2 linked regions of the Arabidopsis thaliana genome follow. The protein of the gene in region 1 interacts with the protein of each later gene in a pairwise test. Each region holds a gene or a part of one and is shown on either strand. Other genes may lie near its edges.

Region 1 (4,099 bases):
GTATATATTAATTAATGAGTAGTTTTATTCACAAAATTATCAACTTGGGTGTGTAGCTAGGCCCCCACAATTAATGTATGATGCATCAGATTTATCTAGAATTGTCTTACTGCCCCTCCAAATCGATATCATATCAAGTTGTATTAAAAAAGAACATGCATCTCAAGATTAGTTTAATTCATTATATTTAAAGTAGTTCAACCTAAGTGACTAAATCACAATCAACCCCTAACGTAACTAAGTCTACAAATTAAACCAACAGTCAACTACATCTTTTTTTTTTTTGGGTTGTAAGTTTAAATTTACTAATCAACAAAATAAATGATTATATAAAAAAGAACTACAATTTAATATTTATGATCAGCATATTTTTTCTAATGAATTTTTAAATAGTTGAATGACCAAATTTCGATATATCTACCAACATCGTCAATTGATGATTTTTTTTATAACTAATTTTCAGTGTTTTATTTCTAACTTTTACTCTATGTTTTTACGGTAAGATTAGAAGTGTCAAGACTTGGATATTATTTTGCTTTTTATTAGAATTAGTAAATATAAGGAAAACAGAAAGCTAAATTTTTTTAAAAAAAGCTAACTCGGTATTTCTTCTTCATTTTTGTAACAGAAAAACCCCACAAAATTTGTAACTATGCAAAGTCCGAGTGGAAATATAATTTGAGCTTAGGATCATTAAATCCCTATATAGTTAATTAGTACTAAAAGGAATTATAGAAAAGAAAATGACTCAGTTAATAGGACCACTCTAGAGGAAGAATAAATAGTTTAGGTGTTAATGGAGGGATATATTTTAGAATTAGAACTGTCACATTGGGAAGTGGTTCTTCTTGCTAATGTATTTTAGAATCATTCAAAAGAAAGAAGAACTAAATAATTCTCTAAACTAAACATTTAATCAAAATTTTAGAAGACAAAAAAAGAAGAAGAAGAGAGAACAGACATCTTTGGGCACCTCGGAGAAAAATAAGCATGTGAGACTCGATGCACATCATTAAATGCTTTGAGATGACATGGAAGATTCGGTTCTCGGTATTTGCTCTTTTGTTTCTATTTTATTTTCTTACCCAAAGAAAAAAATAAAATCTTTGGAAACGGTGGGGGAGGAGACAAGAAGCAATGTTTGACTGAGTTCAGTTAAAATTTATTGAAGTCTCTTTTGTGTTGAAGAGTTGGGACAAAAAAAAAAAAAAACTTTAAAGACCTGAGGGTTTGGTTTTTGCTTAAACTTTAGTTGAATGAGTGAAAGAAATGAGTTTCTGTTTATGTCGGAATTTAATAAGTCTGTAAGATTCTGTAAGAAACAAAAAGAAGCAATCTGAAACATCAGAGCTTCGTGCTAATCCGTAGACTTGGACTCTAGCTCTTGCCGCCTCGTCTTTTCTTATTTTACAGTTTTAACTCTACCTTCGATATCAATTAGCATATCATTGATTATCACTTTCTGTCAGTAAAAACTTGTATATCGTTAGAAAAAACACTAATAAATGTAATATTTGGCGATACAAAATTAGATTGTATAGGATTTTGTTTTTCTTTTTTTCAAAAATAAACTATTTATTAGAATTTCCAACTTAGACTATATAGTTTCATAATCAAATTTACGATTACTTTTTGTTTTCCATATGAATATGATTATATATTTAAGAATGTTAAAGAAGACTAATTTTTTCATTTATTCCGGTTTGTATATAAATAGGTTACCATTAGATATGTGTTATCTTGGAGTACTCTACAAATATTTTCTTTACCAATTGAATCATTTCAATCTAAAAAAATACTGAACTAATGTCATTGGTGCTATTTATAATTTGACATATAATTTTATTTAATTGTAAAATTTAAATTCTAATCTTTCTATACAAAATTTAAACAAAAATGTAATTAATCTCGTTTAATTGTAAAATCTAAATTCAAACTCTTATTTATAAACACATAATTTATATTTAAATTTTGTTTAATTAAAAGTAAATAGATTTTGAATATTTAAACTAATATGAATATTTTTAAGATGCACATACTTTTTTTTTTTTTTTGGTAAGGTTTAAGATGCACATACTTTCTCTAGGTATCTAGTAATTTATTCCTTCAACGTCTGAATCGGCCTCAAATTTTCTGATTTGGGCTTAGTTTGGTCCAAGTGGGCTTAATCAAGCATATCATAACTGTAGTTTGGGCTCATAACGTTTTTTTTTTTTTTTTTTTTTTGCGCTGCGCAGTTTAGCTTTTGATGGTACGGCTTATTTTAACAACGAACTCGGAATAAAAAAGCTTTTGACAGAGAGAACGACCATAATTCAATTAGGGAAGTACTTTCACAAACCGGAGAAGATTATCGGAGATCGCAAACTATGGCCGGACGAGATCGTTATATTCCATCATCAGCAGTTTCAACTTCATCATCTTCAAGATTATTAGAATCTCAATTAATCGAATCCGATCGAAATCGAGCTCGATCTGTAATCCTCGAGGATCGAATCGCAATCCAACACCGTGAAATCCAATCTCTTCTCAACGACAATCAACGATTAGCTGTAGCACACATCGGACTCAAAGACCAGCTCAATGTAGCTAAGCGTGAGCTCGAACGGTTACTTGAAACCGCTGTTAAAGTTAAAGCGGAAGGAGAAGCTAAAGTGCGTGAGGTTTATCAGAATGCGTTGAGAATGGAGGCGGAGGCTCGTGTGATTGATGGACTTGGAGCTGAGCTTGGTCAGGTTAGGTCTGATGTACAGAGGTTAGGTAGTGATAGACAGGAGTTAGCTACGGAATTGGCTATGTTTGATGATGAGATGGCTAAGGCTAAACCGAATTCGGATCGAGCTATTGAGGTTAAATTGGAGATTGAGATTCTTCGAGGAGAGATTCGTAAAGGAAGGTGAAAATTTGAATTCTCTTTGTTGTTTTTGTTGGAACATTGGATTTGTTATCTTGTAGTGTATACTCATATGATGGTTTTTTGGATGCTTATGGAGTAGTAATGAATTTGTTTGAGGTTTGGGATATGAAACAGGGCTGCTCTTGAGCTGGAGAAGAAGACACGAGCTAGTAACCTTCACCATGAGCGCGGTATGGAGAAGACTATCGATCATTTGAATCGAGAGATTGTAAAACTTGAGGAAGAATTGGTTGATCTGGAGACTAAAGCTAGAGAAGCAAATGCAGCTGCTGAGGCAGCTCCAACCCCAAGTAATTTCTCTGTCTTTTTTAGCTTTTTGCTTTACACAGTTTAACTGCAAAACCACCTTATAGTTTTGATGATTTGTTGATGTAAGGTCCTGGATTGGCTGCAAGTTATGGAAACAACACCGATGATATATATGGAGGTCAAGGCCGGCAATACCCGGAGGCTAATGGTACTCATGAGGTACACATGAGTCTATAGATAAGTAGTAACTTTACGTGATCATCTGTTAGAAGTTCTCCTAATTTAGCATTATTATGGAGAAGGAGAAGATTGGACTAATTGTTTGTAATGATTGGCATACCAAGTTCTGATTGTCTTACATTCTGAACTGATATCTTAGCAAAATAGCTAGTTCTCAGGGAAAAAAGTTATGTTCATAGGTTAGTAAGTGTCCAACTTGTACAAGTATCCGTTGGTTAGTGAGAATTGTTGTAAACTCATAATTGACTGAATTCAACGCTTATGATAAGATTGCGGTTTTACTTTAACATTGTTCGATTCTAGTAGTGTTTAACATCACACAAATATACACTTCAGGCATATAGAGCATCGGATTGTCTCTCTCAAGACCCATCTACTCCATTGCAGCATCCTCTGAATAATACTCAACATTCTAGTGTGTTGTGATAGTGTCTTGCTTACGTTTGAATAGGCCAGCCATATACTTGATTTGACAATTTTTGTTTTAGTGTATCTTATTTAGCGAGTGTATTCAACCAAATAATTTATTTGATTGAAGTTCGAAGAATTTTTCTACTCTGTATTCTCAGTTCGATTTTTGAGGTTTACATTAATTTACATACCTCATCCAACTATAAACAAACAAGGACAAGAGTTTGTGGTCCTTTTAGAATTACAAATTTTTAAAACTATTCCATTTGATTTGTACTTACC
Region 2 (4,099 bases), on another chromosome or scaffold:
AGAGCATTGATATCTAACATTAAAACCAAAAAAAAAAAAATGTCATTGATATATAGTTATATACTTATATGCAAAGAGATGTTTAATATTGTTCACCCTTAAAATATTATCAAATCTTGATATTAAAACAGTTGTTAGCGTGTGCATGAACCTGGTGAGTAGTTGTGATGAGATCTCGCATTGATTTACTTCAAATTGGATTAAATATGTAAAAATATGTTTAAGAAATCTTGTGACTCCGCGAATGATTTTCTCCTATACATTATTCTAATTAATTCCATGGATATGTTTTATAATATGCGTAGGAAATTAAAGAAAATATGTTTTGTATTATATAAGTTATTTTGATCTTAATCTTTTGAAGTTGAAACCTACTTGATATGCTTCTTCTTATTTTGTTAACTAACTCAAGTTGAATGATTATTTATTGATTGAATTACGTAAGACGGGAAGAACATGATGTGCCCAACCGAACCACGAATGGTTAAGGATAGGTCGGTTTGTGGCATATCAATAAACAGTTTATGAGACTGAATGGAAACCTTCTTTCTTCGATCGACTAAAACCCTTAGCCTTCCAAGTTTCTAGTCAAGAAGTATTGTTACTAAATTGCCCTTGATGTTAATGTTTTCGAAAATCTATTTATGTTTCTACAGTGTTTCTCTCACGTGAGTTGCAGAGTCAGTTCACGTGGTCCCACTACATCATGAAAACGACGTCACACTAACCTCTTATTCGCCTTTCACTTGAATTGACCATTTCGTTTTTATTTACTTTCCTTGATTTCTTTCTTTCTTCTCATCTAAACGTGTAAAAATCTTAACAATTCCATTTGCTTTTTTGTTTTTGATTTTAATGTATCTAACCAATTACTTGTGCTCTAGAGAAACCGAATCTCGAATAACAATAATACATTTCATCAAAGAACCACGAGATTGCGAGTGATTTTAAATCAATATAATACAATTCATGGGGTTAATATAAAATACAGAGAATAAAGCGTGTTTAAGCACAACCTAACAACTCACGAGACAAAGTGGAAGGCATGTGGGGATGTGTAATTGTTTTTGCTCTTTCCCTATTTTGTACAATTTTTCACTTCATGTGATCCAACACTATTTAGCTATAGTTCCTTTCTCACTATCATCTCCATCTCTGTTTTCAATTTATTATTTCTATCTTCAGATTAAACTCATGACTACTGGAAAGATGTAGTACTCAGAAACTAACTAGATTGTAAGCATTAGGGGAGGGCAATAAATATTACTCGTAAGTAAATTTAATTCTTAACTACTGAAAATCTTAAGTAATTTAATCAAGTATATACGTACTTGCAAAAACTTGAAAGCCATAACTATTTTCGCTTGAATACAAATGGACTAAAGATATTTTATCATTTTATTTTTGGTTTTAAGAGATGACTTTTTTCGAATATATAATTCAAATTATATACAGTACTAGACATATGTTAGTTTAGTAAATGCTAACAAGACTTTTAAAATAAGTACTGTAATTTGTAAGTCGTCTATTTGGTTTACTTATAAGTTAGTGATTTTGTAACAAGTGGCATTCAACTAAATATAAAAATGCGCTTAGCTCACATGATCAGGTTCTTAACTATGGGTTTTAGACAATTTGTTAAAGGCGGAAGAGCTGTCTTTGTTCCACCTAATGTCACATACATTACATATATCTCCACTCACACAAATACATAGACGCATACACGTACGAACAAAATCATACTTGTCCCCCTATATTCCATCATCTATAGCAGAATTTCTACTACTAAATTTACTATTAAATTGGTAATTGTTTGCAGCCAAGCCTAGCTATCAATTAGTAGTACGTATCTTTGTCAAACTTACCAATTACCTTCCAATTTACCAATTAAACAAGTCGTCTAGTTATGCGCATTCAGTACACACGAACATAGACCACGTAATACAGTGGTCTGATTACATTATTTACATGGAGGTTTTTATAAGCATGATTTTCTAAACGGAGACACAAAATCTTCTTTATTTTATTTTTCCTTTTCGCACTGTTCATTTAGGTTTGGTGGTATTAGGCTATAGAAGAATGTACGATGACTTGAATATCAGATACATGAGATTCTTAATTAATCATACATATCTTACCATTTTAATTAGTTAACTGATTTCCTTTTGATTGCATTTACTTCGACGCATGATAGTAGTCGGCGTAATTTCAACAGTACCTTGACACGCCAAAAGCTTCACGTAATTTGCTGTCGAAGAAGGTACGCTTCTTAGCTCAAATCTAATCCATTCGTGTTCTTTAGAGATTTGACTTGGATTCTAGTTTTTGTATCTCCATGTTCATTGGTTGACTTGAATTATGCGAAATTGAGTTGGTTTGAGCTATGAATTCCGCTGAATTATGGTTATTCTCTTGAATTTCTACCCAATTCTGATGACAGATCTATCGATTCCACGAATTTGGTGACTTCTGCCGATTCTCCCGTTTGAATTCTGTGGAATTCGCTGAGAAAAGTTGCGGCGGAGGCTGATTTAGGTTAAATCGAGCAGAATTTGACCAAATTCGAGGATTTTTATCGGTAAAAAGATACAGAGAAAGCATAATTCAGCAACTTCAGAGCTCAATTCCGCTTCTTCAACCATCGAAAACCACAATATCTCTTGAATCAGCTGCTACAAGTCGCAGATCTGAGCTGCTAGCCAATTTTTGCGATAATTCCCGCGCACAGATTAGTAATAGAATAATTTAAAAAGAATTCAAAAACCGTCGAAGCTCTGTCGTTCATGGAGCTTCCTCAACCTCGTCCCTTCAAAACCCAAGGTAAACACCATTATCAGATATTATTGTTACCAATTCCTTTATTTTATTTTAAAACAGAGTGTTTAGTTTCTACAAGATTCATAATTTTAAATTTATGTATTTTTTTGAATTTTGATATATATATTAAGAAGAATTTCGCACAGGGAGAAAACCAACACATGATTTTTTATCGCTCTGCAGTCATTCAACCGTCCACCCAGATCCAAAGCCAACACCACCACCTTCTTCTCAAGGTATTTTTTTTTACCATTTTACCCTTTTTTCTTCTTTAAGATTCTCTTAAAAGGGGTCACGTTTTTTTCGCGCGTGCATCTGATCTGACTTTAAGACGAATCATGGATCAAAATGTTGCTATTTTGTTGGGTCCTAATGGGCCCATCTGTGTTTAAAGCCCATGGAATTTTGGGACCGTTTTTTTCTTTCTTTTTCGTCTACACATGTCGTTAAACCTTGCCTTCGATTAAATAAATATCTTTCAACCCTCATGATGTTGATCCCTAGAATTGCATCACATAAATAACAAAATGTTGTTAATTACTATAAGCGTTTAAATGCATACAACTTGATGTATAAGAAAATGTGTATTATCTAGGGATTTACTTCTCTAACATATAGTTTATGTTTTTAATTTTGATGGTACGTGAAGCAGGTAGTCACTTGAAAACCCATGATTTTCTTCAACCGTTAGAATGTGTTGGTGCTAAAGAAGACGTAAGTAGGATTAACTCTACCACTACAGCGTCCGAGAAGCCACCGCCCCCTGCTCCACCTCCACCGTTGCAGCACGTGCTTCCCGGTGGTATAGGGACTTATACGATTAGCCCCATTCCTTACTTCCATCATCATCATCAGAGAATTCCTAAGCCGGAGTTGTCACCACCAATGATGTTCAATGCTAATGAGAGAAACGTTTTGGATGAGAATTCTAACTCTAATTGCAGCTCGTACGCCGCTGCATCAAGCGGGTTCACTCTGTGGGATGAATCTGCTTCTGGGAAGAAGGGACAGACAAGGAAGGAGAATAGTGTTGGGGAGAGAGTAAACATGAGAGGTAACAAGAAAACTTGAATCGTGATGTTTATTTAGACTAGTTTTAAAGTAGTATTTAGAAATCAATGGAATGATGAAATATAAGTTTTTTTGAATGTGTAGCTGATGTTGCAGCAACTGTGGGACAATGGCCAGTGGCGGAGAGACGGTCCCAGTCTTTGACAAACAACCATATGAGCGGTTTCAGTTCTCTCTCTTCCTCTCAGTTAGTCTCATATCTTCTCTTTTT

The links. Proteins that work in one complex are often made in the same cells at the same time.
Region 2: the proteins of AT2G30120 (region 1) and BIM1 interact in binary tests that used the Arabidopsis thaliana proteins (3 or more experiments, as listed by UniProt).

Annotation. Positions count from the first base shown.
Region 1 is NC_003071.7:12,860,133-12,864,231, reverse strand, and holds AT2G30120 (protein FLC EXPRESSOR), read left to right. Parts: upstream 1-2,260; 5' UTR 2,261-2,369; coding exon 2,370-2,896; coding exon of another isoform or gene 2,897-2,900; exon of another isoform or gene 2,901-3,013; coding exon of another isoform or gene 3,014-3,026; exon of another isoform or gene 3,027-3,031; coding exon 3,032-3,207; intron 3,208-3,293; coding exon 3,294-3,385; coding exon of another isoform or gene 3,386-3,403; exon of another isoform or gene 3,404-3,553; coding exon of another isoform or gene 3,554-3,625; exon of another isoform or gene 3,626-3,742; coding exon 3,743-3,832; 3' UTR 3,833-4,085; downstream 4,086-4,099. UniProt on the Arabidopsis thaliana protein: Transactivator required for FRIGIDA-mediated activation of FLC and for the expression of the repressors of flowering AGL27/MAF1 and AGL31/MAF2. Does not alter expression of known activators of FLC expression.
Region 2 is NC_003076.8:2,608,256-2,612,354, reverse strand, and holds the start of BIM1 (basic helix-loop-helix (bHLH) DNA-binding superfamily protein), read left to right. Parts: upstream 1-2,104; 5' UTR 2,105-2,260; exon of another isoform or gene 2,261-2,440; 5' UTR 2,441-2,783; coding exon 2,784-2,820; intron 2,821-2,951; coding exon 2,952-3,053; intron 3,054-3,469; coding exon 3,470-3,871; intron 3,872-3,972; coding exon 3,973-4,075; intron 4,076-4,099. UniProt on the Arabidopsis thaliana protein: Positive brassinosteroid-signaling protein. Transcription factor that bind specifically to the DNA sequence 5'-CANNTG-3'(E box). Can bind individually to the promoter as a homodimer or synergistically as a heterodimer with BZR2/BES1.